7 linked regions of the Sus scrofa genome follow. The protein of the gene in region 1 purifies or fractionates together with the protein of each later gene. This does not show direct contact. Links are inferred from orthologs where the notes say so. Each region holds a gene or a part of one and is shown in the gene's direction. Other genes may lie near its edges.

Region 1 (3,500 bases):
ATAGAAGAGTACCTAAAATAATAATCATTCAAAGCATAAGGCCCAAGGGTTATTGTAATTACACAATATCAATTTTAAGTGAGCACTGGGTTTATTTCCTTCCATGGACTGTTTCTGCAGTTAAAGATCCCCAGATTCATTTTTTATTCTGTTAATTTTCCTGTTCCTTTTCCCTTAAGAACTTAGGTATTGACATATTGTACTCTAATCTGAGGGCAGCGGTGTCTGTCTCTAGCTCTGGGAACTCTAGGAGCAAATAGATTCCTGGGAAGGAGGGACGGGATGTATGGAGTGGGGCTGAACTGCCTTGCCAGTGACAGTAGAAACTATTGGGACAATTAGAAAGACCGGCTGTTTTGTCGTCGTCTTTTTTTTTTTTTTTTTTTCTTTTTAGGGCCACACCTGCGGCATATGGAGGTTCCCAGGCTAGAGGTCCAATTAGAGCTGCAGCTACCAGCCTACACCACAGCCACAGCAACTCAGGATCCAAGCCACGTCTGCAACCTACACCACAGCTCATGGCAACGCTGGATCGTTCACCCACTGAGCAAGGCCAGGGATCAAACCTGAGTCCTGTGGATACTAGTAGGGTTCATTTACAACTGAGCCACAACGGGATTCCAAGACTGGCTGTTTTGAACAAAGCCAGCGTTTGTTCTCCCAGCAAATGTACTTTTGAGTGTCAGATACTATTCCAGGTGCTGGATATATAATAGTAAACTGAATACAGAGAAATCCCTGTTTTTGTGGAGACTGGTCTAGCGAGGGGGCAGCACACAAGTGCAATGTCAGTGTATGTCAGATGATGATAAATACTATGGAAAAAATGCTAAAGGGAGTTCTCGTTGTGGCGCAGTGGTTAACGAATCCGACTAGGAACCATGAGGTTTCGGGCTTGATCCCTGGCCTTGCTCAGTGGGTTAGGGATCCAGCATTGCCGTGAGCTGTGGTATAGGTTGCAGACGTGGCTCGGATCCCTTGTTGCTGTGGCTGTGGTGTAGGCCAGTGGCTACAGCTCCAATTCGACCCCTAGCCTGGGAACCTCCATATGCCGTGGGAGCAGTCCTAGAAAAGGCAAAAAGACAGACAAAAAAAAAAAAAAAAAAAAAAGTGCTAAAGAGAAAGCAGGGGATGGAAGTCTAGGGTGGTGGGCTGCAGTCTTCAGTAAAGTCATGGAGAGGGCCTGGTGGCATGTGCAAAAGGGCAAGGGCAGAGCCTCCCCCTGAGAGCAGCTGTTTCATGCTAACTGTGTGCTGGGTGATCTGGTAGTGGTTTTGCCTACTCTCCTGCTAATCTTTGCAAACTTTTAAGTGGATGATGCCAACTTTAATTGGTGGTGTCACCATTTTGTAGAAGGAAACTGAGCAACAGAGGTTAAATAACTTGTCCAAAGTCACACAGCCAAGTAGAACTGAGATTGGGTCCCAGAATCCCACGCTCACCTTTCTCCTCTGCCTTTCTACAGGCCCAAGAAGGCCACTTGTTTGTCCCATGTTGTGCTGCACTGACAGTTGATTTAACTCTCCTGTGTTACAGATCTTGATTCCACCCAAAGGCTTATTTACTAAGCTCAAGAAAGAGGCAGAGAACCCCCGGGAAGTTTTGGACCAGGTAAACTGAATTTTTTATAACCAGCTACTCATGGTGCAAGTTACATTGTGTGGGTTCTTGTGTGTTTGGAAGTCTCCAAATCAGTACCTTGTGCTCTAGGCACAGCAGTGGTGAGAAGAAACGCCTTGAGGCCACAAAGGGCAAAGAAACCTGCATTCTCTGCTACCCAACTTTCTGCTTTGTTCTCCACTTCACTAGGTCTCTTTCCTTCCTTTGCTAGAAGCCAGCTTTTGAATGGGTTCTCTGGTGACCACTGCCTTTTAAGCCTCAGGTTTTCAGAGTCAAGAGAAGGCATATTGGTACTGGCTGTTCTAGGTGGCTGCTTGAAGACTTCTGTTTTGCAGGCTTTCTGACTGCTTCTGCTTTTGTGGGCATTTGGTTGTCACACAGACTTTCTGGGAGGGAGTTTGCTAGCCATTGGCCAAGTCAAGCAGAAAACTTTGACAGCCTCCTGTTTGAGGGAGATGCTGGCCTTGGTGAAGGCCCTGGAGATGATCTTGAGTCAACTCAGCACCATGTTGGTTCCCATCTCTTTAGGTGTGTTACCGAGTGGAGTGGGCCAAGTTTCAGGAGCGTGAGAGAAAGAAGGAAGAGGAGGAGAAGGAGAAGGAGCGGGTAGCCTATGCTCAAATTGACTGGCATGATTTTGTGGTGGTAGAAACGGTGGACTTCCAACCCAATGAGCAAGGTAGGTCTCTGAGGAAGGTAGGTCTGTGACTCCAGTTGGGGGACCAAGAGCTTGGAGCCATCCTGGGAAATCTCATCCAGTTATCTCCAGGGAGCAGCAGAATCCCTCAGACGGTTTTATCTGTATTTGCTTCATCTCTGGTTCCAGAAGACTTCAGTCCTACCGCATTGCCCCAGCTAAACCCAATTCAACAAATACTTGTTGTGCCAGACCCTAGGTTGGAGATAGGAGATAAGTCAGACAGCTCCAGCCCTTGGAGAGCTGACAGCGTGGAGAGGGCAGATAGTTGGGCCTTTGAAAAGGGTCTGTAGAGGCCTCCCCTTGACTCTGGCTTACTCTCTGCCAGGGAACTTCCCTCCCCCCACCACCCCAGAGGAGCTGGGGGCCCGAATCCTCATTCAGGAGCGCTACGAGAAGTTTGGGGAGAGTGAGGAAGTTGAGATGGAGGTTGAGTCTGATGACGAGGACGAGAAACAGGATAAGGCGGAGGAGCCTCCTTCCCAGCTGGACCAGGACACCCAAGTGCAAGACATGGATGAGGTATGCTCCTGGGAGGGCCTTTGGGGTGACTTTTTCCCTGGAGCCCAGAGAGATGGGTGTTCTTCTCCAGAATTAGGACCTCAAAAGGAGGTGTGGGTCCCGAATAAGGTAGCTGCCCAAGCCCCGGCAGCACAGACCGTCTTTGCAGTTCAGACAACAAAGATTTATTGACCAGCAAGGATCTGAAAGCTGTGCTGGCCCTATTCTGTGACCTTCCTCCTTTGCCCAAATGCCCTGCTCGCTACCACCCCCAGGCCAGCTCTCAGTTAGGGAACCCTCTGCACCTCGTACTTTGATGTTTTCGAGATTACACCCAAATGATCAGCAGTTCCCAGAGCTTTTCTAAGTGTAGCTTGTGTTTCCTTTCGGCTGCCTCTATTTGCTTCGAGCCAGGCCCTCCAGGCAGGCACAGAGTCACCAGAGCCAAGCTGCTTTTCTCCTCTCGGAAGGAATTTATGTGCAGCCTGAGAAGAAAGGCCCCTGTGTTTGTGGGAATTGACGTTTTCTCTCCCTCCCAGCATTGCTCCTTGAGCGACTACCATTGAGCGATGACTTGCCCCCTGCTCCCCTCCCCAGCATGTTAAGTGCCCTTGGCCTCCTGGGACTGCCTGGTGCCAGCTGCTGGAAATGCCTGGGCGGAGTGTTAGCACCACTGCCCCAG
Region 2 (4,063 bases), on another chromosome or scaffold:
AGTTTAAACTACTACCCCCCAAAAAAGAGTAAAAGGCAAGCCATATAGTATGCTCACACTCAGAATATATAAAGAAATCTTAAAAGGAATAAGAAAAAAGAAAACCCACTAAGAAAAAAAATGGGAGAAAGACTTGAATGGGCACTTTGTAAAAAAATATCAGAATGGACAATATGCTTAACTATTATTAGAAAAAAGCAAATGAAAGCAATAGTGCACTGGTACTCACCAGAATTGCTAAAATTATGAAGACTGACAGTGCAAATGAGGTTAATGTTGGCAAGTGATGGAAACCCTTACACACCACTACAGTGTGGAAATGATTCCAGCCTCTTGGAAGTTATCATCAGGCAGTACCTATCAATAATACCACACACTTTGTCTCCTTAGTTTCACTCCTGGAAAAGTTCAGGCACAGGTGCATGCGATCCACGTACAACAAAATTCATAGCAGCATTATGCAGACTAGCCCCAAGCTGGAAACAAACCTAATGTCCATCGACAGCGAAATGGATTGTTATGGTGTAAGAGACGCAATAGAATTCTATACAGCAGCAAGTAAGCAAATCATTGCTGCCTGCAACCTGGATGGATTTTAGGCATGACACAGAGCCAAAGAAACCAGATACAAAAACAGATTGCATCATTCTCTTTATATAAAAGTAAGCAAAACTAATCTATGGTGACGGATTCGTAGTTCCCTTTGGGGAATGAAGGAGTCTCCGAATTTCAGGACCCCAGCAGCAGCCACCCAAATGTGCTCACTCTGTGGGCATTTGTCATGTTGCAGACTTTAGATCTGCACACTTCCTGTGTTATCAGGCTTCAGCATGAATATCTAATTGTCTAGAGAGGGCAGGCCTGACTGCAAACTAGACCAGTGCGGAAGACCCAGGCTTGGTCTTCATGGTGTCACCCGGATGCCAAAGCCCGGGACCCATCACTGAATCCCATGGGCGGAGTGAAAGCAGTCACTGCCTCCCTTTCACCTCTAGGTGTCCTGACGCACGCGAAAGTTCCACTCGTGGGCTTTCACTCTTTATTAACTTGCGGACACAAATATCTGGACTCGGGGGCACTGCAGGCCGAAGCTGCACAAGAGGAACGAACTCAGAACCAGATGCGCCGCGGAGAGCGCGGGAGCTAAAGCCCAAAAGCTGTGCCCGAGCCCGGGGGCGGGGCCGATCACGGAGGAAATGGCTCCTCGATTGATTAGGCCTGGGAGCCGCGCTGTTAGCACACGCCGGAAGCGATTGATGCTGCCTGGCGGCGGGCGCGGGGTACGCCGGGACGTCGGTGCGGCGGGAGGAGCGGGAGACACTGCAGGCGGGAGGCGACAGGATGGTGAAGCTGACGGCGGAGCTGATCGAGCAGGCGGCGCAATACACCAACGCCGTGCGGGACCGCGAGCTGGACTTGCGAGGTGAGTCGGGCGGGGGCGGGCGGCCCGGCCTCCCCGCCCGCTCGGCGGCCTGCGCCCGCCGCGTGCGCGAAGGGCGGGAACGTGGCCTGGGGCGTGCGTCCCGGTTCCTACCCCGGCTGAGTCCCGCTGTCGTCGGCGAAACGCCGACCCTGGACTCCTTCGAGGCTCTCCTTAGCCCAGCCCCCACCGCCCGGGACCGCCTCGATGCTTGGGTCAGACCGCGGGGCCGGTGCCGGGCCTGCCGAGTGACCTGAGCCGTTGGGGGGCGGGGAAGTACACGCCTGCGGGGTGGGCTGAGCCGTTGGGGTGCTGAGCCGTGTTTGTGATCCTCGTGCGGACCGAGATACGGTAAAGTGAAGTCATGAGAATATAGGTTGGGTATGGGACGGAGGAAGTGAAGTCCGGAGCAAAAGCGATTTTTTTTCCCGGCTTTTCCTCCTCCTTAGCTTCAAGGATCTATTTCCCTTTTGCCAAAACCTTTCAAAGAGCAGACTGTTTCAGCCACGCTAGGGCTGCCGGATGTCTTGCGTCTATAAGGGAGGCGGAAGTCCTCCAGACTATTAGATTCCTGTGGCAACTCGTCTGCATAGTAGGAGAGGCTTTAGAAAGGGTGTGAAGGACGACTTCTCCGGGGTTAAGTGTTGGCTTGAGATCCACCCCCACGGGGGAGAACACCGTCTCAGGAGCAGCACTGCTGCGGGCCCTGCTTTCTGCTTGCTTTTTTGTTTGCTGACATAGTACTTTCGTTTTGTTGAAATTAAATATCATAGGTTCGACTCAAGAGTAACCCACCGCTTTCATACTCTTGGCACAGGCTGATGTCTGCCTGAGTTTGAAGTGCATCCGGTGTTGAGAATGCTCGTTTTGGTACAGCACTTAACTTTGAGCCTTTAGAGCTCTGAAATGTGTACTTATTTAACCTTGCCTAGGTTAACTTCTTTTCTTCTCCTAGCACCTAAGACAATAATTATGCCCCTAGAAGACAAATCAGTGAGCGTTTGAGTGAGTTGTTCACAAGGTGATTTACCATTGTGTACAAATTGACCTTCAACTCTGGGTTGGGCCTCTGGGAGGTGAGAGAAGTGGGAACTGTCATGATACGAAGATATCCAAATGAGTTCTGGGAATCTGACCTGTGGAAATGCAAAAAAGGTTGGGAGCTATTACTGTCCACAATACGTGGACAAGGCTTGGACACTGACAGTAGGCAGCTCACAGTGTAAAGTCCTGTTAGGCCACTTCATTAGCTTTGGGGCCTTGCTTAGAACAATACAAGGCACCTTGTAAGTATACTTGGAAATGTTAGCTACCTATTAGTATTACTGTTAGCGAGTATTCTCATCTTTATTGCCCTTGTAATCAACCAGTGCTTTGGCAGTGTTTGGCACAGCATAGGTGCTAGATAAACAACTTTCTGATTGAATGAAAGCTTTGAGTCCAATTACCATGAAATGCTGCTAATGTTTCCTTGTGTGTTTTTTCCCTCCTTTCTCCAGGGTACAAAATTCCTGTCATTGAAAATCTAGGTGCTACCTTAGACCAATTTGATGCCATTGATTTTTCTGACAATGAAATCAGGAAACTAGATGGTTTTCCTTTGCTGAGAAGACTGAAAACATTGTTAGTGAACAACAATAGAATATGGTAAGTGTCTACTAGTGGAAAGTAATTTTTGTTCCCCTAGAGTAAATGTAGCAGAGTTCCATAAAGAAGTTGCAGTATTGCCAGTTACACCTACGTATTTCTTAAATGGAAAATGAACTACACTTTTCCCATACAGATCCAGAGATGAATTTGGTATTGGTCTGGTCTTACTTGCATCTATTCAGAAATCTTGTATTATTTATGTATTCATGGTACATTTCTAATTTAAGTTAAAAACCTACTGCTTTGGGGAGTTCCCATTATGGCTCAGCAGGTTAAGAACCCAGCTAGTATCCATGAGGATCTGGGTTCAATCCCTGGCTTTGCCTGGTGGTTTTAGAATCTGGCATTGCCATAAGCTGCGGCATAGGTAGCAGATGTGGCTCGGATCTGGCATTTCTGTGGCTGTAGTGTAGGCCGGCAGCTTTGGCTTTCATTTGACCCCTAGCCTGGGAACCTCCATATGCTGTGGGTGCAGCCTTAAAAAGACACACAGACACACACACACACACACACAATAGAAGTGCTGGGTAGTGAGTTGCTTTTTTTTAAATGCCCATTATTTCTCGTGAGTTAACTATTCCACTGTGGTTTGCTTACTGGCTTATCTTGTGCCTGAGCTCTGACTGCAGAATCACTTATGTTTTTGGGCTTCACACAGGTCCTGAGATGAACTAAGTAGTCTGTTTTACACAGGAATTTCTTGTCTTTGGTTTCGTTAAGATAGTGTGGCAGTAGGAAGGGCCCTGGACATCTTTCAGGAGATGTGGGTTTTAAAGTCATCCTACTTCTGTCACCTGTGTGACCTCAGACAGTTCTTTTTGTGCCTTATTTTCCTGTCAGGGTCTTGGAAGAAAGATCTCTTAAGTTTCTTCCCACTCTGAAGCCCTCTGAGCAAGGGCTCAGATAAAATTTTTAGCTGACTTAATTTGCATGTTTACTAAGAGTCCTTCTGTTTTTATTTCAGCCGTATAGGTGAGGGACTTGATCAGGCTC
Region 3 (3,500 bases), on another chromosome or scaffold:
AGCGGCAGCGAGAGGAGCGGCAGCGACAGCGGGAGCTGGAGAGACAGAAGGAGATAGAAGAGAGAGAGAAGTAAGGCTCCGTGTGGACGTGGGTGTTCTTTGTTCGAAATACCGTGACCCATCTGAGCAGGCAGCGGGAGGGCGGGGGCTGGCTGTGTACATCCCGGCGTGAAGACAGAATCGGAGCCACTTTCAGGCACAGATGCAGGATCATTTGGGTGTGTTCTTAAAACAGTAACTTAGGGAGTTCCCGTCGTGGCGCAGTGGTTAACAAATCCGACTAGGAACCATGAGGTCGCGGGTTCGATCCCTGCCCTTGCTCAGGGGGTTTAAAGCTCTGGTGTTGCCGTGAGCTGTGTTGTAGGTCACAGATGAGGCTCGGATCCCGCATTGCTGTGGCTCTGGCGTAGGCCGGTGGCTACAGCTCCAATTCGACCCCTAGCCTGGGAACCTCCATATGCCGTGGGAGCAGCCCCAAAGAAATAGCAAAAAGACAAAAAAACAAACTAACTTAGAAACTCGCTGTTGAATAATAGTTTTTTGCTTATGCTGTGAGTCTGCTAGAATCCTAACTCTTTAAAATACTAAAAATGTTACTCTTTTACTGATTTTTCTTAACTGTTAGCTCTCTTGGTATGCTTTAAAAGTGAGAGAGGGAAATATCAAAGAAATTTTTTTCTTTTCTCTCTCTCTCTCTTTTTTGTCTTTTTAGGGCATATGGAGGTTCCCAGGCTAGGGGTCCAGTTGTAGTGGTAGCAGCCCTGGCCTACACCACTGCCACAGCAACGCGGGATCCAAACCTCATCTGTGACCTACACCACAGCTCACGGCAACACCGGATCCTTAGCCCACTGATCCTTAACCCAGGGATCGAACCTGCATCCTCATGGATGCCAGTCGGGTTCGTTGAGTGCTGAGCCACACTGGGAACTCCAAGGAAATGTTTTTCCTGCTGCTGTGCTTGTACTTATCAGATTTGCTCCATCTATCTTCTGGATTGTTCTCCTCATACTTTTGCTACTTTGGTCTTCAGCCAGCTCTTGGCACGTGCGCATGCACACGCACACGCACACACACACACACCCCAACCCTTTAGTGTGGGGGGTACGGTCTCGTGACTTCCTTGGGTTTGTGTCTCTAAATTGGCTCCTCTGTGATGAGTGTTGCTTCCTTTGTTGTCACAGGAGGCGTAAGGACAGACATGAGGCCAGTGGCTTTTCACGGCGGCCGGATCCAGATTCGGACGAAGATGAAGACTACGAGCGAGAGAGGAGGAAGCGAAGTAGGATGGGAGCGCGCGGCCGGGGCGCTTTAGCTGCGGGCTCTCCCTCTGGCCTTTCACGTTCGGTTCGATAAGTCGTTGAGTTGGCGCTGACTTGGGGGATCTTCTGCGGATCCCCGCAACCCATGTGAGCGTCGGAGCTCTAACACCCGCCGTGTCTGAGCCACGTCCTTGGTGCCACGGGGTCGCTGGGCCCCGACCCTTCTCGAGCGTGCCCTGTCCAACGCTGGGATTTCCTGGGTTTAGTCGCCCACTGGTTGACGGCGATTTGCTTGAGAATTTCAGATCTGCGCTCTGGGCCGCCCAGCATGGTTCTCAGCACGATTTAGGTTGTGTCCTTTACCCCACACGGCCCGGGGGCGGCTCCACGATTCCTTCTCGCCTGGAAAGGGGAAGCAGTGAGGCCTGCTTCACCAAGTTTAATCCTGGATTCCAGTTCTGAGTCCCTGGGCTTTGGTGAGAGGGGCGGAGCCACGTCCCTCCATCCTTCCTCCTCGGGGGGAGGTGTGACGCAGCAGGCAGCAATGTCACATCCTTGAGACTCTGACTCTGAAGCGCTCTCCCGCCTTTGATCAGCGGAATTTATGTTTTTGCAGGTATGGGCGGCGCTGCCATCGCCCCCCCCACGTCTCTTGTGGAGAAGGACAAAGAGCGTACGTACCTCTCTCTCCCCTCCTTCTGTCCAGACGCGCATCTGCAACCCGCGCATCTGCAGCCCAGTCGGGGGACGTCCTGGCCGCGGCCAGCTGGGCTTCCCGAGGGCAGGGCAGTGGCCGGAACCGTCCCGCTCCAGCCCTCGGCCTGGTCCTCCCTTCCACCCCTTCTGCCTTCGCCAGTTTATGTGCCAGTCTCTGAGGCGTGGGTTCTTCTACAGGGGGATGCCTTTTTGGTTTGTTTCTAAAAACAACTTGTTTTGTTTTCTCCGATATTTCACATTCGGGGTTAGGTTAAAACAGCTCAGTTTAGAATTTTTGTGCCCAGTAATTTACAGGCTGTTAAGCACGTGACCCTCCACAAGGTGGCAGCACTTTCCTGGGTCGGATGTTTTGGTGCCCGGGTTGTGTGCGTTCACTCAGGTCGCCCAAACCGCCTTCTCCCGGTTCTCCCTCTAGAATTCGGGGTTGGAATTGGCCCTGACAGATCATCTGGGCTGGACCCCACGCAGACCTCCCTAGAAAACATCCTCCCTGGTGCTTTCCACCACTGTGGCCCTGTGCGCGTCACGTCTGTTTATAAAGAAGGGAGGTCGGGGAATGTCAGGTGCCTTTTGTGTGGAAACACCCGACGACCATAAAGCCAGCCCAGCTGAAACCTGTCTCAGAGTGCGGCCCCCACATCCGGGTCTCTGGGAAGCTGCCTGTTGAGTCTGCCACCCCCACCTCGGAGACCGTTCGTGCTGCCAGGCTCACGTGGGTGTGAGACTCGCGAGACTGTAGGACAGGTGCACAGGATGTCGTGGGAGCCGCAGGGGTTGATGGCGTCTGCTGGAGCCTGCAGAAGACTCAAGTGCAGCTCAGAACTGTTTTGTAGCGTGTTGATAAACTGGCTTTGTTTTCCTCCAGCAGTGCCCCGAGACTTCCCGTACGAAGAGGACTCCAGACCCCGTTCACAGTCTTCCAAAGCTGCTATCCCTCCCCCGGTGTACGAGGAACAGGACAGACCCAGATCCCCGACCGGCCCGGGCAACTCCTTCCTCGCCAACATGGGGTAACCGTGCAGCTGCAGGGAGGCCTTGGCCCTTTGGGTAGATGAGTGAGTCTGGAGGTGAGGGTGTCCGGGGTGGGGGGCGTGGGGTGTGCGTCACACCGCCTCCCCCAGGAGGAGCAGTGCTCCCGGCACAGGCGGGTGTCCGGCAGGACACGCCTCTGTTCTGTGCGAAACGCGAGGCCTTCTCATGGGAGTTTGAGTGATTTAGACGCTGGACACTGTGTTCTCCAGGTAGGAGCCATTTCCGGTCACTGCTGATACTGAGTTTTGTAACATGAATGAGCAAATAAAGTAGCTCCTGAGAATTAGAGTTAACTTACGCTGTGTCCACAGGGTGGATGAGATCTGTTTTTTTCTTTTCCTTGATAAAATGACCTTTACTTTAAAATCATGGTTCCGAACCTTTGGTCTAAAAGCTCTTAGTCATTCTAATGATAATTAGAAATTTGTTTGCCAGCATATGAAAATAGTTTTAATGTTTATTTTCAGGTGGGGCTTTGGGATTTTTTTT
Region 4 (3,500 bases), on another chromosome or scaffold:
TTGTGGATGACACTAATGTCTACAGAGTGACTATCCATAAGGTGAGAGCAAGACGCAGCATGGGGCTGTGGGACTCTGGGTTTGCCTGTGGGGGTGGTAAGGCAAGGGTGTGTGTCTTGGACGGAAGGCAGGTTGGTTGTGTCTGGACTTAGCTAACTGACGTAATCATTCTTCAGACCTTCGAAGGGAACTTGACCACCAAGCCCATCAATGGGGCCATCTTCATCTTCAACCCACGCACGGGGCAGCTCTTCCTCAAGATCATTCACACGTCTGTGTGGGCTGGACAGAAGCGTCTGGGGCAGGTGAGCCTGTTAAAGTGTGGAGAGGCTGGAGAACCTTGCCGCCTCTTATTCTTTGGTATGTAGATGGGGGTGTGTGTGCAAGAGTGAGAGTCTTCTCTTTCTCTCCTTGTAAGATTGAAGACGTTTCATTTAAACTTTTCCCCTGAATTACTTAACTTTGGAAGTGTGTTCTTCTATAAGAGGTCCAGGAGCGGAGTTCCCAGGTGACTCAGTGGGTTAGGATCCGGCATTCTCACTGCTGTGGCTCAGGTCACAGGTGTGGCGCCAGTTCATTCCCTGGCCTGGAAACTTCCACTTCCCTCGAGTGTGGCCAAAAAACAACAGAAAGAGATCCAAGAGTGAGGTTCTTCATTGCCTTCTAGCTGGCTTCTCTCCTTCCTGAATGTCCCATCTCCAACCTGTCTTGAAGAAGACTGCCAGAAATCATCCTTCTAAAGGGAGCAAGCATTCTTACTTATTTATTTTTAATGTCTTTTGTCTTTTTAGGGCCACACTTGTGGCATATGGAGGTTCCTAGGCTAGGGGTCTCATTGGAGCTGTAGCTGCCGACGTACACCATAGCCACAGCAATGCAGGATCCGAGCGCGTCTGCAACCTGCACCACAGCTCAGGGCAACGCCAAATCCTTAACCCACTGAGTGAGGCTGGGAGTTGAACCCACATACTCATAAATGCTAGTTGGGCTCGTTAACCACTTAGCTATGATGGGAACTCCAGGAGCAAGCATTCCTAAAACATCATTTTCACCAAATCTCTTCTCCCCCTCATCCTTTGGTAACCCCCCCCTTTTTTTTGTCATATTAACTCTTTGGTTTCCTAGATTCCTAATGTCTAGGAAGCTGTGCAGCCACAGTTTCTCTTCCTCCATAGCATGTTTCCTGATGCCCATCTTCCCTTCTTTGGCTTTGCTCACAGATCCTTCCTTCTAGAATGAACTTTCCTCTTTGTTCTGTTAATCACTGTCTTACTCATCCCTCAAGATCTCTTTCTTTGTGCAACTTTTTATGACCTTTAGCCTTAGTTTCTTTAGTCCCCGACGTAGTGTAGTATATAATCAAATACGGGCTTAGGGTATTATTTTGTATGAGTTTTGTCTGGCCAGCTAGGTCGAAACATTCTTTGGGGCAAGGCCATGGTTTGCTTTTATCTATCCCTCCGAAGTACCTCCATTCCAGTAGCAGTGCACAGTAGAAACATAGTTGGATTGTTTCAGGGCTGGGATCTTTTGTTCTCATTGACTCAATTTCCACTCCCTTTACGCTTGCTTTTTAGTTGGCTAAGTGGAAGACGGCTGAGGAAGTGGCCGCCCTGATCCGCTCTTTGCCAGTGGAGGAGCAGCCCAAGCAGATCATTGTCACCAGGAAGGGCATGCTGGATCCACTGGAGGTGAGAGGTGGTGGATGCGGTAGAAGAAAAGAGGGCTGAGATCTGCTGACTCTGTTTCTAGACTTGGACTTGATCTTGTTTCAGGTGCACTTGCTGGACTTCCCCAATATCGTGATCAAAGGCTCAGAGCTCCAGCTCCCCTTCCAGGCTTGTCTCAAGGTGGAAAAGTTTGGGGATCTCATCCTTAAAGCCACTGAACCGCAGATGGTTCTCTTTAACCTCTACGATGACTGGCTCAAGACCATCTCATCTTACACGGTATGAAGTCACCTCTTGAGGAGGGTCACTCGTCTAAGAGGGGTAGGTTTGGGGGTCACAAGGAGATCCTGTGCCTTAGCTTTGCCCACAGGCCCCTTAGGGAGCCATTTTCACATCTTGAGCCTGCGGGTGGGTCAGTGGATACGGGACTGCATGTCAAGTTGGCGTACGGCGAGGGAGCTGAGTGGGGCACCTTAGAGTCTGAAATCAGTTCCTGGGTCTCCTGAAAGGATGGGATCAGGAGCAGGGAACCCGACCATCAAGGGCTGACCTGCCGCATCTCTCCCCAGGCTTTCTCCCGCCTCATCCTGATTCTGCGCGCCCTGCATGTGAATAACGACCGGGCGAAGGTGATCCTGAAGCCAGACAAGACGACGATCACGGAACCACACCACATCTGGCCCACTCTGACTGACGAGGAGTGGATCAAGGTGGAGGTGCAGCTCAAGGACCTTATCTTGGCCGACTACGGCAAGAAAAACAAGTGAGGAGACAGATGGGACGTCCAGAACGGGGGCGATGGGCGGCTTAGTGCATGGTTTCAGGGGTTTTTGAAACATTTTCAGCTCAGAGATTTCTCAAGAAATCGTCCGGCGATGCCTGTAGAAGAGAGGAGGGTAGGCAGGGTGTTCACGTGGTGTGGAGATGTCCGTGTGTCCGGGCTCAGGCTGACTCGGGCTTGGCTCCGGAGACGCTCTGTTGCCAAATCGAGAAGCGCATTTCTGTACCGTCCATACATTACAGGAAGTTCTAGCAGCCCAGACCCCCAGGTACCACTGCTAATAGCGTGTGCCCACACCTTCCTTGTTTCTCCGTCTTTGTCACTGTGGCAGTCAAAAAGCCCATAGATTTCCAGGCGCACAGTAAGGGTAACTCTGAGAACTTGTTCTAGGATTTCCATTTTTGAGTGTTTTCCGGTGTGGGGGCAGTTTTTGTTGAGGGAGAGTGGGAGGTGTGGATGCTGAGCAGGTTTGAGCATGGCTGAAAGGTGTACAGGCACAGGGCCAGCCTGGGATGTGACCCATCTTATCAGTATTAGTTTATTTCCACTTCACACTTCCTTTGCAAGTGTCACTTGAGGATTGTCTGGGATAAGAATATGGGCTCCCTTCTCCACCGAGTTACGCTCTTGCCGTTGGGGCATACCTAAGTGACCAAGGGGAAAGGATCCTTGTGGTGTGACCCACACTCTCTCCACAGTGTGAATGTGGCATCACTGACACAATCAGAAATCCGAGACATCATCCTGGGTATGGAGATCTCAGCACCATCACAGCAGCGGCAACAGATAGCTGAGATTGAGAAGCAGACCAAGGAACAGTCGCAGCTGACTGCGACCCAGACTCGTACTGTCAACAAGCACGGTGACGAGATCATCACCTCTACCACCAGCAACTATGAGACCCAGACTTTCTCATCCAAGACAGAATGGAGGGTCAGGTACTAACTATAAGGGGCAAGAGGGATAGGGACGGAAAGGACTGCCGATGCTGCCTGAGGTGCTTGTGCTGAGAAATGACAACATTCGGGAGATCCCGTTGTGGCTCAGTG
Region 5 (3,994 bases), on another chromosome or scaffold:
AAGAAATGGCAGTCAGTCAATCTTCTAGATGGTTCAAAAGAGGACAGTCAAGGTCAAACTGTTGAGTCTCTTTTACCCTCCCCATCTAGTAACTGAAAAGCAACTGATTGTGAGCTCAAAATACGCCATTCTGGAACTCCCACAAATACAAATGTCAGCTCCAGGACCACACTCTGGCTCAAAAAGTTCTGTGAGGGCAGGCTGAAAGGGACAAGGAGAATGGGGAGTAGTAGGGCAGATGCTCAGGCCACAGCACTTTGGTAAGACTCAGAGAGCAGAACTTTTACCTGTTTTCTAACAGCGTCATCACCTATCAAATAAAAATAATCATCTCCAGAAATGATGATATGAATCAAACGATGTGGTGAGGAATTAAGTCTTGCAATCTTGTGCAAAGCTGAGAGACTACTGTCATCATTACTATTTGCTACATCTGGGCACGGAACCCACCCCCTCGAATTCTTGGGTACATGTTCCGCAGGATCCCCACAAGATGGAATAGGTCATAGTTTTTTTTTTTTCCCCCCCTACAGACTCCATGTTTGGCAACCGTAGATGCACCTGGCTAGCAACTCTGTGCTACTGAGATGAAAAGTGAGGCCTTCAGGCTCTGGGCCTAGCGCGCTTACCAACCACCGCGCCCCCCAGTCACCTTGTCCTCACCTTGAGGAACGGGGGAGGAAAAAAAAAAAAAAAAAAAAAAGCCTTACGGGGGAAGAAACTGCGGTCCTCAAAAATGAGAAAGACGTGCCTCCACTCTTCACCCGGCCGCCGCTTCTTAGGCCCTTGCTTCCAGCGGGGCGGGGACAGGGCTGAGAGCTGACTGAGCCGGGGACGCCCTGACCTCGGGCGCCAGAGGAGCGGGTATTTGCGCTGGGCCCGCGCAAGGGACAGGTACGCGAAAAGTCGGCCGGAGGTCAGGCCCGCCTCGCCTTGCCTTGCCCATAGCCGCAAGCGCAAAAGAGGTACCCCGCCCCCGTAAACCTAGAGGGCTCTCGGTTCGCTCACCTGCAGCCGGGTCACCAGTAGGCTGTAAGGCGCCATTTTGTGCACTGACAAAGATGAGGTCGCTTGAAAGTGACGTGACACGCGGCTTATTTAAGGCCTTCGGTGAGGGGCGTGACCTGAGGAGAAACGCGTCACGCTGAAGGCGTTCCCGCGAGCGACGTGGGCGGAGCTCCAGAGTCAACCTGGGAATTGGGAGAGAGCTGCCTAAAAAGTTGGGGTAGTAAATACCCGGCACAAAGATATCAAAGTGCAAATTTCGTCTTTGCGCTCTGCAACTTGTCCCTCCCATTCAAATCTGGGAAAGTTTTTTTTTTTTTTTTTCCCTAAATGACCCGCACACCCCTACCAAGACCTGACTCCCCCACTGCCAACGGGAATTCGTCTTCGGAATTTAAGTGCTTTGATCACGCGAGAATGAGCGGGGCTTGGTGCAAAGATTGCAAACGCTGATGGACGCCTAGAGAACCAATCAGGGCGACGAGGAGGCAGGAACAATCAGGGTTAAAGGTCTGGCGGAAGCTCCCTAAGCTTCCGGTGGTTTGAGCGCGAGCGATGGCTAAGCATCACCCGGACTTGATTTTTTGCCGCAAGCAGGCTGGTGTTGGTGAGACGGTCTTCTGCCCCCGGCTGTTTGGGTGGGGATGGTATTAGGACCTTAAGAGTCCGGGGTTCCCATTACTCCTTTAGGGTGTTGCTTCGGAGGCGCCCCGTTTCCCGCCTCGCCGCCGGTAGTGTAGGAGCGCGTGGGTTTGTGGGCTCAGATGAAAGGGGGGCGGGGGCGCGCGTGCTGAGAGCTGGAGAGGGGCTGCGGAGATAGAGAAATTCTCAGTTTTCCCAGGACCTGGGAGGTCTTACGAGGGTGCGGATTTGGTTCGGATTGAAGTTTATGAGAATACGATGGTTAAGACCTCTCAGGGCTCACTGCAGACCCTGTACCTGTCCCCAACTCAAGCTCGAGGCTTTTGTCCCCTCTTCTAAACCTTAATCCTAATTGTACTCTTTATCACCTTTGATCTTGCAGCCATTGGAAGACTGTGTGAAAAATGTGAGTGGAACACGCTTCTCCAAACAGCCCACCCCTCCCACTCAGCTTCTATAGTGGCAGCAACGGACATTTTCAGCGGTGCCACGAAGAGGGCTTTGGATAGACATGATTGGAAGCATGTTAATACAAAGCCAGACTGCAACTAAAGGCCACCTTCCCGCTCCAACTTGTACATTTTAGGCACTGTATTTAGGTTTTGACAAAACCTCTAGCTTTGGACCAGAAGTAGCATGACCCTGCCCCCAACACACACAGCATTCTGCCAGTCAATTATATAGACTTATCTACCGACTGCTATTCTAAGCCCTTTATATTAATTGATTAGCTTTCCTATGTGTTGGGGAGATTGAGAAATGGACGCTAGGTAAACCAATTTTATAATGCCAAAATAGAGGGCTAAAGTCACTGTCAGAAGGACATAGTGTTTTTACCCATAGCAGGAAGAGGACCTGAGGTACTTGCAAGTGGGCGTAATTCAACCTCTTTTCCTTACAGGTGATGGCAAGTGTGTGATCTGTGACTCCTACGTGCGTCCCTGCACCCTGGTGCGCATATGTGACGAGTGTAACTATGGCTCTTACCAGGGGCGCTGTGTGATCTGCGGAGGCCCGGGAGTTTCAGATGCCTATTATTGTAAGGAGTGCACCATCCAGGAGAAGGATGTGAGTGTATACTAAGCTTTTCCTCTGATCTTTCCTTTCGTTTAGGAACACTTGGCCATCCACAGCAGACTCCTATGGTCAGGAGATGGCTGTTCAGCCAGTCACCTAGGTTATAATTTTCAAGTTCTGTAAACCAAACTGGGTGTACTCCAACAAAAGGTAGTTATTTTGCATCAAGTACACAAAGGCGAGAAAAGCAAATTTTTGTCAACACTGGCAATTTGATGTCTTTCTCTCTCTCTTTTTTTTTTTTTTTGGCTGTGTCCACATGTGGACGCTCCCAGGCCAGGGATGAACCATGCTGCTGTTGTGGCCTGTGCCACAGCTACGGCAATGCCAGATCCTTAACCTACTGCACCACAAAGGAACTTTCTCTCTCTTTTTTTTTTTCCCCCCAGAAACTATGCTGCATTTTTAAATCATACCACAGTGCATGATGTGCAGAAGTCACTAATTTGTGCTACCATTAAGGAACGTTAGGGTGGATGTGATGACTTTTGAATTTGGGACAGTTCAAGTTCATTTCAGCTCTGAGTGGCTAGAGAGTGCCTTTGGTTGATTTTGCAGAATTGATTGTAATTCTTGCTCATGGCATTTTTGCCCCTTGACATTTTTTTGGTGCCAGTGGCTTTTTTTTTTTTTTTTTTTTGCTATTTCTTTGTGCCGCTCCCGTGGCATATGGAAGTTCCCAGGCTAGGGGTCAAATCGGAGCTGTAGCCACTGGCCTACGCCAGAGCCACAGCAACGCAGGATCCGAGCCGCCTCTGCAACCTACACCACAGCTCGTGGCAACGCCGGATCCTTAACCCACTGAGCAAGGGCAGGGATCGAACCCGCATCCTCATGGTTCCTAGTCAGATTCGTTAACCACTGCACCACGACGGGAACTCCGGTGCCAGTGGCTATTTATTCAACTCTTTGAGCCAGGATAGAGGGCTTGTAGATCTATTCCAAAAGCAGGCTTGGGGTAGGGGAGGTTAATCAGCTTTTATTCATATGACACAATAAATAAAAGGAAATGTGATATAGTACCAGTAGACTATTTATTATAAGGTATCTGGTTACCTAATCTAGGATAAGGCATGAGATAAAATATTTCTTAATTTTTCCTTGTGCAAAGAATAGGTAGTTTCTATGTGGGTATTATCTTCCATATTCTTCACAGTAACTTTGTTAAATAGGGATTATTACTATCCCCCTTTTACAGTCTGTCCTGCAGCTAATAAGGGGCAAGCCCCGGCTGTCTGTCTAAACCTGGTGATAGCTGCAATACACCTTA
Region 6 (4,283 bases), on another chromosome or scaffold:
AATAAATGACTTCAGGAGTTGGTCATGAACCCTTCTTCTTCCTCTAGTGCTCAATCTTTTAAAGCTTAAAATTGGACATCACAGCCCTACTTAATTCTGTTGAAGGCTACTCTTTGCCCTCAGAATAGAATTCTAACTCCCCAAGCACAGTGGTTACCTCAGGGCCCTGTGTGAGCTTGCTTCCATCCACCTCTCCAGCCCTACACCTGGTCTAATACAACGTGACTGCTTACTGTGACTGCACAGTTGGGCTATATTGATTCATGCCATCGGATTTTGTTTCAAGTACTTCCTTTGCCTGGAAAGCTCTTTCCATTTTCTTTGCCTGGTTTGGCTCAGGAATGACCTCCTCAAGCAAGCTTTCCTTCTTTGAATACAGATCCTATTAAAGAAGGAAAGAAAGAAAGAAAAAAGAAAGAAAAGAGCACTGAAGTATGGTTACTCTCCTCTATTTGTGATTAAAAATGAAAGCAATACCAAACTGTAAAATGTAACTCTTTTATCTTGTTTTTTTTTTTTTTTGTTTTAGGGCCACAGGTGTGGCATATGGACATTCCCAGGCTAGAGGCAGAATCTGAGCTACAGCTGCTGGTCTAAGCCACAGTCACAGCAATGCAAGATCTGAGCTGCATCTGCAATCTACACCACAGCTCACCACAAGGATGGATCCTTAACCCACTGAGTGAGGCCAGGGATGAAACCTGCTTCCTCATGGATCCCAGCCAGGTTAGTTACCCCTGAGCCACGATGGGAACTCCTATAAGTCTCTTAAATGACACACAACTGTATATATGTAACTGAATCCACTTTGCTGTACACCCAAAACACAACATTGTAAATCTACTCCGAAATAAAAAAAATTTTAAATAATAACTTATATGAATGCTAGATTTAGACTATCGTCTGCTTATGATTTTTCTCTCATGCATCCTTTCTCTCCACGCACCCATTTTGCAGACGCCTTAAACAGACTATCCAACAACCCCACTGCTGGAATCTCAGCTTGGGTCAAAAGCTGCCCTGCTCTGCTTCTCGGCACCACTGCATTTTAAAGTAACTTGAACAGACCGCAAGTTTGCCTTTCCCCCTAGGGGATGAGAGCCAGAGGTGGCGGGAACACCATCTTTGTCCATGGAGCACCATACCTCAGCCCACTCTCCTGTTGGCTCCAGGTTTACTTGAGTCGAAGTAAAAACTCCTCCCGGCTGACCCATGCATTTCTTCTTTAAGAAGGCTTTCCCTAACTCATCCAGCAAGTGCAACTAGTTCGCGCCTATCAAGGGCTGGCACTGAGAAAAGGGTGCATTCCAACCAGCCCTGAAAGCCTGGACAAGATTCCCTAAATTCTCCGGCGGAGAAAGCAACCCGCCAGGGAGACGCCCACAGATATTCAGCAGAGTGGGCAGGGCTGGAAAAAAAAAAAAAAAAAGAAGACCGACACCGGAAGTCACGTGGCCACTTCCCCTTGAATAGTCGGCAATCGACTATTCAGCCTTGCAGGCGCCTCTGGCGGGCTGTGTTGAGATCCAGTCTTTCGGCGTTCGACTCGCCCGTGCTGCTGCTGCCGCCGCCGAAGGAGGGGCAAAGCTCAAGATGGCGGACAAAACGCCAGGCGGCTCTCAGAAGGCCAGTTCAAAGGTAATTTCTTAAAGGACTTCGTGAGTCATTGAGTCTATCACTGTCGTCTGGAGACTACAGACACTTCTGGCCAGCGGGAGGAGATTGGGGTGGAAGTCCGCGTTCCGGTCGCGACGGTAGGCCGGGGCGCAGACGCACCGTGGTGCGCAGGTTGAGAGGCCTGGTATCTCCCCTCGGTCCCAGCCTGGATTCGGCTCGAGGCTGGCGGGCCCGGGGCAGGTGGCATGAGTAGTTCGCCCCGCGCTTACCACTGGGGTGAAGTCAGGGATTTACACTGAGGTCTGACGCCAGGAAAACGCGCCTCTGTATTTCAGCTTGTTGCGCTCTGAAGCTCCGGGACAGAGTCTAGGAGAGGCGGGAATCACTTCCCGGTACTTAAGGTCTACTTCTCTTTCCTCGGTTCTTTGGGGTTTGGATCTCGTACGCTTCTGGCCTCCTTCAATTTCCCTCACGTCCTGCAGGGAATAAATAATCTCTAGGGCTGCAGATTGTGAGGGGAGGCCCTATAGTGGAGGGACGCGGGGTGGGAAATGCAGAGGCGGGAGCAGTTCTCCTTTGCGGTGCTGCATCACCAAGGTTAATGCTACGCTCTACACGTGGTCTTACCTCCCTTAAGGGGAAGTATGAAATGAACGCTTCTTTGGAGGGCTCATTTTCGAGGACTCGGGGTCCTCATCACCTCCCGAAAGGAGAACTTTCATAAGTTGCTTTTGAGTGTACAGGGAATCGTGTGCAAGTATTGTGAAACCACTGAGCTGTGGGAGTAGTTTAGCTTTAGGTTGTGATTAGCATCTGGCACCAGTTGCCATCTTGGACGGGTCATTTAATCGTTTTTGCTTTGAGTTTCTTTTTCAAAACGATATTAAAAGTAGTAGATAGTGCCCAAAGTAGTTGTTAAGCTTTTCTATGCTGATGTAAGAAATTGTGTAATACACATCTTAAAGAGTGTGTATGAATTGCAAGTCGGTTACTAGGAAGTTAAGTTTACTGTAGACGGGGCTAGTTCTGTGTGTGCAGTTTGTTTTGGGAAATATAACCTATTATATACTTGCTTTCTCAGTTTCTAATCATAATCTTTATGCCATTTGGTGCATGACGTCTATAATTAGTTCGTAATTAGTAATGGATTTACCAGAAATCCTTTAGTTGTGTGGAGGCTATGATAGAAGGCCAGTATTGGCTGCTTTACGTTCTGCGTTTACTCCTTGTTTCTCCTCTCCCCACTTAATTTCCCCTTGATGAGGAGGGGAGTAGTTGGGTACATCACTCTGCCCACTTCCTCAGCAGACTCATCAGAAAAACAGCCCTGTTTACTGTTAGGGAACGATTACCAAAGTTAGCCACATCCATAAAATTCACCGGTAAGCGTCACTATTTTTGTTTCTTCTCAAAATAATACTTTAGTATCTCCTATTTGAGGCCTTGGATACATTGAAAACATTTTAAAGCATATGTTCAGCCTTCTCTAAGAGTATTTGTCAGGGTTGTATATGGCTTTTTTTTTTTTTTTTTTGGTAAGTGTAAATTGTTGAATCTGCCAGGAATCTTTTCAGTTTGTATTGCTTTAGATTATCGTCAATTGATGTGATTAAGAGGTTTCCTACGATGTCTGTAAAATATAGTAGGGCTCAAATGATATGGTTTTTTGCATTAATATGGAGGGTACACGAGGTAGTGGAGAGATTATGGATTTTGATAACAAAGTCGAGATTTGGATTCAAATTCTGACTTGGTACTTTATTTATGATGTCGCAAATTGCTTAAACTTTTGAGCCTCAACTTCCTTGTTGGTAATGTGGATATAATCTCTTTTTCTACAGGGTTGACGTAAAGGTTAAATGAGTGAATAACTCTTAGTTCCTTTGCTTTTCCCTTTTGTTCTTAGAGGAAATGAAAAGTATTTACTTTTCAAAATATCAGGATAAGTTCTAATGCTGAGATTTAGAATCTAGGTCATTAGTTAACATAATGACTATCCACATTGCTGCTTTTTATTTCTAACCCAAGTCCAGAATTTATTGGAGAGAGTTTAAGATCATTTTTGCTAATACTTTCAGTACTTGGAATTTCTAGCCTTTGCTCTCTAGTTTGATTTCCTTTCCTGTGGGGAGTTTAGATGAGTGAGGATTATTCTACTACAATACAGAGGGAGTGAACAGATTCTTCAGTTTTGTGCTTTCTTACTCTTTGTTAAATTGTAGTTATTAAATTCCTATTGATATGGTCAGAGATGCTTGTTAATCATACTTCTAGACACTGAGAAAAATGTTAAGCTTAAAAATGTACAAGGGAATGTAATGTACAGCATGGCGACAGTCTTTAATACTACTGTATTGCATGTTTGAAAGCTGCTGAGAGTAGATCTTAGTTCTCATCACAAGAAGAAAACTGTAAGGCAAATGGCTATTAACCAGGCTTATTGTGGTGATGTTTTTGTAGTGTATACAGATATTTAATCATCATGCTGTATACCTGAATCTAATACAGTGTTTTATGTCAATTATATCTCAGAAGAAGTTTTAAAAATAAACAGATTCTTGCCAATGACAATGGCAAAATTATTTGATGTGTCTTAATTATAACATGTTAAATTAGCTAGTTTCTTCTTGCTTTTAAAATTGTTTCAAGTATATGTAGTCAAATGA
Region 7 (4,118 bases), on another chromosome or scaffold:
TCTAAGATTAAAATTAAAAATAAAATTAAATGCTTTGTGGAAAATAGTGTGAGATTTCTGGTGGTGGGAAGGGGCTGCGTGTTGGGAGCTGGCGGTGGCAGGTGGGTTTGCAGCAGGCTTTCCCCACATCCCAGAGGAACTCTGGCTGTTCTGGCTGCCCCCTCCCTGTGCACAGCTCTGCCTCTGCTCCTGAGGTGTGAGCATGGCATCTCCAAGAGCAACAGCGGCAACTTGCCCTAGAAATGCTGGGTCCTAGAAAGTCAAGAGTGAATAGGACAGAATGGCTTCTGCCTTTGGGAACTCCCAGTTCTGGGGGGGAGGAAAGCGGAACTTTAAAGGGGAGCATAATCACAGACAGATGGGCCTCCAGATGGGGCAACTGGGAGGTGAGGGGTGTCAGGAGGGATGGAGAGATTGTGTGAACAGAGTTTTTGTTGTTGTTGTTTATTTGGCTGTGCCTGTGGCATGCGAGAGTTCCTGGGTCAGGAATTGAACCCAAGCCACAGGAGTGACCCAAGTCGCTCCAGTGACAGTCCCGGATCTTTAGATCTTTAACTCGCTGCGCCATAGGAGAATTCCTGTGTAAACTGAGATTTTAGCTTCAAGCAACTTCAAGTTAGAGCTCCTCTCAAGAGGGAAAAAAAAAAAGCAGCAGCAGCTCCCGCGAGCGCGCTCTCTCTCTCTCTCTCTCACACACACACACACACACACACACACACACACACACACACACACACACCCCGATGTGCTAAATTTTGCGTTCGATTTCAGGGGTTCACAGGCATGCAAAGGCCCATCTCGAGCTCCGTAGCAGTCAAAGCGCACGTTAAAAAAACCCAATTCAGGGACCGTGGGAAGGCAGCGTTTGCAGACAATATTAGTTGTGGGGGCTGGGAGGAGGCTGGGTTGTGGAGCTGAGGGTCTCAGGAGCAGAACGTGCTCCGTCCTCCTACACCTGATCGGCCACGACCCCAGGGAGTCTACTAGGAGGACTTCTGCTGGAGCGGCGGGCGCTGCAGTGAGCATCCCGTGGCTGAGGGTGTGCAAGCGGAGGGAAGCCAGGGAGGCCATGCTGGCTTAGATGGGCCCTAGGTCCTTCAAATTCTGGGATACGGTCTTCCCCGGACTCGAACGCGCCCCTCAAGCTTGAGCGCACGCGCAATCCGACCACTATGTCAAAGACCGCCGCTCGGCCAGTGCCGGCCGCGAATGCGCAGTCGGGCCCGATCCCAGCCTTCCCATGAGCCTTTGGGGCAGCTCCGAGGCAAAGGACGGAAGCAGCCGCTCTTGGTTTCCGGCAACGCGACGGCGCAGCCGGGCCCGACCCGGAAGTGTTCCCATTTTGCGCCGTCGGGGCTCGGCGGCGGCGGTGGCGGCGGCGGCGGCGGCGGCGGGGCTCGGGTGGACCTACCACCATGGGGTCGTCAAAGAAGCACCGCGGGGAGAAGGAGGCGGCCGGGACTACGGCAGGAGCGAGCACCGGGAGCGCCACCGAGCAGCCGCCTCGGCACCGGGAGCACAAAAAACACAAGCACCGGAGCAGCGGCGGCGGCAGCAGCGGTGGCGAACGACGAAAGCGGAGCCGGGAGCGTGGGAGCGAGCGCGGGAGCGGGCGGCGCGGGGCCGAAGCGGAGGCCCGCAGCAGCACGCACGGGCGGGAGCGTAGCCAGACAGAGCCCTCCGAGCGCCGCGTGAAGCGGGAGAAGCGAGATGAAGGCTACGAGGCCGGTGAGGGGCGGGGCCTGGGCAGGGGGCGGGGCGATGGGGAGGGTCTCAGGGTGGAGGGCCTCGGGGATGGAAGCCAAGCCCACAGGCCCAGCCATCCCCAGGCCCGTCGTCAGCGCATTTGGAAGGGTCTTGTTTTGATTATTTGGGATTAAGGGTTGGCTTTCTCTGCTAAACTCCGTGAAGGTGGAGATTTTCTCTGTTTTCCTTAACTGACACATCACAGGCACTCGCTAAATGTGTCGAGTGAACGCATGGAGTGGTACCATCGTGTGTAGAGGCAGGAGGACACCTGGTATTGGGCAGGTTATGTAGAGCTCATAGCAGAGACATGAGGCAGGGGTCCGAACACAGAGGCTCCTGCAAGCCTGTTAAGATAATTGAATTTTGTTGGCGTTCCCGTCCTGGCGCAGCGGAAACGAATCCGACTAGGAACCATGAGGTTGTGGGTTCGACCCCTGGCCTGGCTCAGTGGGTTAAGGATCCTGCACTGTCTTGAGCTGTGGTGTAGGTCACAGGTGCAACTCGGATCTGGCGTGGCTGTGGCGGTGGTGTAGGCCGGCAGCTGTAGCTCCAATTCGACCCTTAGCCTGGGAACCTCCATATGCCAGGGTGTGGCCCTGAGAAAACAAAAAACAAAAAATTTTGAACTTTGTTTCAAAAGTAATAGGGAGCCATGAATTCGAGCTGGGGAGCGAGTTAGTCGTATTCACGTTATCACAGAGAACACTGTGTTGAGAACTGGGTAAAGAGCAGTCAAGACCCATAGAGGAGGTAAGGACTGGCCATGGCTGGCACCAGGGCAGCAGCAGCGGGATGGAGAGTCGTTGACCCATTGGAGAGGTGTTTTGGAGGAGGAGGTGACAGAGCTTAAGCACTTGGATGACAGTGGGAAGGAGAAGAAGGAATTGAGGATGGTCCTTGGATTTTGGCTGGTGTGACCAGGTGGGTGGTAGTGTTGTCGACGGAAGTTGAGTTTGGAAGAGAAGCAGATTTTTTGGAGAGAGACAGTGAATTCAGTTTTGAGGAGTGTTGCATGAGGCACATGGGGAAACTCAGGGCTTGGGCAGGACAGAGCAGTTTGAGAGTCATAAGGGTTCAATGGCAAATGAAGTCCCTTGAGAGAGTGAGGATTGAGAAGCCAGGGTCGGGGGCAGAACCTCAGGAATGTCTACGTTTTAGTAGCAGGCGGAGCAAGATGGTACAAAAAAGGAGGTTGGATGTTCCCCAAAGCAAGAATACCATAGCATCTCATGTCATGGGATCTGTGGGCGTGATCAGTGGTGTCACACACCACAGGAGATGAGGCAAAACCAGAGTGGCAGAGAATCCATCGGATTTACAGACAAGGAGGCTGGCGACCTTGGAGCGAGCACGGAGGTGCTTGGGAGTCAGGGTCCAGGTGGGGTGGGAGGGAAAGACGTAGGTTGCGAGGTGGCCATGCTGGAGGGAGGAGCTCCAGCCGATGGCGTCCAGCTTCTGTGTGTGGCATTCTGTGTGTGACATTTGCTGTTTATGAGGTGGGTGAAAGAGCTCAGAAGCGCTGCTTTATTTCCTGTAGCATCCTCACAGCACAGGCGCCAGTAAGTGTATTTTTTGACTGTGTGAATTACACAGAGAGAACACAGATATGCTGCCAACATGGGCCCTGCCCTGTGAGCAAAAACAGACCTGGAGATGGCCGTGACCGTGCTGTGGAGTGCAGGGGAGAGGAGTTGGTGCTGATCAGGAATCAGGACTCCGGCCTCTGATTGTTGCGTTTGGATAGCATCTTGCTAATCAGAGTGAGGCCAGAGAGGGCCGTGTAGGTTGTAACAACAGAATACACAGAGGTGGAGAGGTGGCAGAGTGAAGGATGTGGCAGGTTGGACCTTTTGGATCAGAAGGTGTGTCGACAGCCTGGGAGTCAGGTAGGAGGAGCCCCTGGGATGGAGGAAGGCTGCTGTTCCCTGATGTCTCGGGGCAGATGGGGGACCCTCACCTTCAGCCCTGCGGCTGGAGCCAAGGAAGTGGCTTCTGGGCCCCGTGTTCAGCTCCTGAGCCTCTCTCTCTCTTGTTCCAGCTGCCAGCTCCAAGACTAGCTCGGGCGATGCCTCGTCACTCAGCATCGAGGAGACCAAGTGAGTACTGTCACCTTTATGCTACTGTGTCTTCTTCTGAGACGGGCAGCTTTGGGGGCAGCAGGTGGGTGAAGCTTTCTCATCGTAGAGCCTTCTGCTTGGGATTTGGAAGTGCCATAGAAACCATCTTAGCCAACGATTTGCATTACAGAAGTGGACACTCAGACCCAAGAGGAAGGATGGCATTTTCCTGGGTAGGGGCAGGCCAGGCCTTCCGCCTAATGCAGAGGCCAGTGCTCTTCTGAGCGCTGGGTCAGGCCCTCGGTTTGGGAC

What was found.
Region 2: the proteins of SF3A1 (region 1) and SNRPA1 purify together in Homo sapiens (affinity purification with mass spectrometry; 6 studies listed by BioGRID and IntAct, counting the BioPlex papers as one, with this or other methods). This does not show direct contact. The link is inferred for Sus scrofa from reciprocal best matches to the Homo sapiens genes SF3A1 and SNRPA1.
Region 3: the proteins of SF3A1 (region 1) and RBM17 purify together in Homo sapiens (affinity purification with mass spectrometry; 4 studies listed by BioGRID and IntAct, counting the BioPlex papers as one, with this or other methods). This does not show direct contact. The link is inferred for Sus scrofa from reciprocal best matches to the Homo sapiens genes SF3A1 and RBM17.
Region 4: the proteins of SF3A1 (region 1) and PRPF8 purify together in Homo sapiens (affinity purification with mass spectrometry; 4 studies listed by BioGRID and IntAct, with this or other methods). This does not show direct contact. The link is inferred for Sus scrofa from reciprocal best matches to the Homo sapiens genes SF3A1 and PRPF8.
Region 5: the proteins of SF3A1 (region 1) and PHF5A purify together in Homo sapiens (affinity purification with mass spectrometry; 3 studies listed by BioGRID and IntAct, with this or other methods). This does not show direct contact. The link is inferred for Sus scrofa from reciprocal best matches to the Homo sapiens genes SF3A1 and PHF5A.
Region 6: the proteins of SF3A1 (region 1) and U2SURP purify together in Homo sapiens (affinity purification with mass spectrometry; 4 studies listed by BioGRID and IntAct, with this or other methods). This does not show direct contact. The link is inferred for Sus scrofa from reciprocal best matches to the Homo sapiens genes SF3A1 and U2SURP.
Region 7: the proteins of SF3A1 (region 1) and SART1 fractionate together in Homo sapiens (co-fractionation; 3 studies listed by BioGRID and IntAct, with this or other methods). This does not show direct contact. The link is inferred for Sus scrofa from reciprocal best matches to the Homo sapiens genes SF3A1 and SART1.

The regions. Positions count from the first base shown.
Region 1 is NC_010456.5:47,318,449-47,321,948, reverse strand, and holds part of SF3A1 (splicing factor 3A subunit 1), read left to right. Parts: intron 1-1,536; coding exon 1,537-1,611; intron 1,612-2,148; coding exon 2,149-2,299; intron 2,300-2,645; coding exon 2,646-2,839; intron 2,840-3,500. UniProt on the Homo sapiens protein: Component of the 17S U2 SnRNP complex of the spliceosome, a large ribonucleoprotein complex that removes introns from transcribed pre-mRNAs.
Region 2 is NC_010443.5:145,706,130-145,710,192, forward strand, and holds the start of SNRPA1 (U2 small nuclear ribonucleoprotein A'), read left to right. Parts: upstream 1-1,263; 5' UTR 1,264-1,341; coding exon 1,342-1,423; intron 1,424-2,919; coding exon 2,920-3,067; intron 3,068-4,034; coding exon 4,035-4,063. UniProt on the Homo sapiens protein: Involved in pre-mRNA splicing as component of the spliceosome. Associated with sn-RNP U2, where it contributes to the binding of stem loop IV of U2 snRNA.
Region 3 is NC_010452.4:64,892,007-64,895,506, reverse strand, and holds part of RBM17 (splicing factor 45), read left to right. Parts: coding exon 1-70; intron 71-1,184; coding exon 1,185-1,282; intron 1,283-1,878; coding exon 1,879-1,935; intron 1,936-2,847; coding exon 2,848-2,989; intron 2,990-3,500. UniProt on the Homo sapiens protein: Splice factor that binds to the single-stranded 3'AG at the exon/intron border and promotes its utilization in the second catalytic step. Involved in the regulation of alternative splicing and the utilization of cryptic splice sites.
Region 4 is NC_010454.4:47,864,287-47,867,786, reverse strand, and holds part of PRPF8 (pre-mRNA-processing-splicing factor 8), read left to right. Parts: coding exon 1-41; intron 42-176; coding exon 177-305; intron 306-1,577; coding exon 1,578-1,691; intron 1,692-1,775; coding exon 1,776-1,949; intron 1,950-2,239; coding exon 2,240-2,433; intron 2,434-3,149; coding exon 3,150-3,389; intron 3,390-3,500. UniProt on the Homo sapiens protein: Plays a role in pre-mRNA splicing as core component of precatalytic, catalytic and postcatalytic spliceosomal complexes, both of the predominant U2-type spliceosome and the minor U12-type spliceosome.
Region 5 is NC_010447.5:7,069,951-7,073,944, forward strand, and holds the start of PHF5A (PHD finger-like domain-containing protein 5A), read left to right. Parts: upstream 1-1,194; 5' UTR 1,195-1,560; coding exon 1,561-1,612; intron 1,613-2,029; coding exon 2,030-2,053; intron 2,054-2,548; coding exon 2,549-2,715; intron 2,716-3,922; coding exon of another isoform or gene 3,923-3,967; exon of another isoform or gene 3,968-3,994.
Region 6 is NC_010455.5:83,703,018-83,707,300, forward strand, and holds the start of U2SURP (U2 snRNP-associated SURP motif-containing protein), read left to right. Parts: upstream 1-1,483; 5' UTR 1,484-1,593; coding exon 1,594-1,638; intron 1,639-1,663; exon of another isoform or gene 1,664-1,754; intron 1,755-4,283.
Region 7 is NC_010444.4:6,370,543-6,374,660, reverse strand, and holds the start of SART1 (U4/U6.U5 tri-snRNP-associated protein 1), read left to right. Parts: upstream 1-1,318; 5' UTR 1,319-1,415; coding exon 1,416-1,728; intron 1,729-3,787; coding exon 3,788-3,845; intron 3,846-4,118. UniProt on the Homo sapiens protein: Plays a role in mRNA splicing as a component of the U4/U6-U5 tri-snRNP, one of the building blocks of the spliceosome. May also bind to DNA.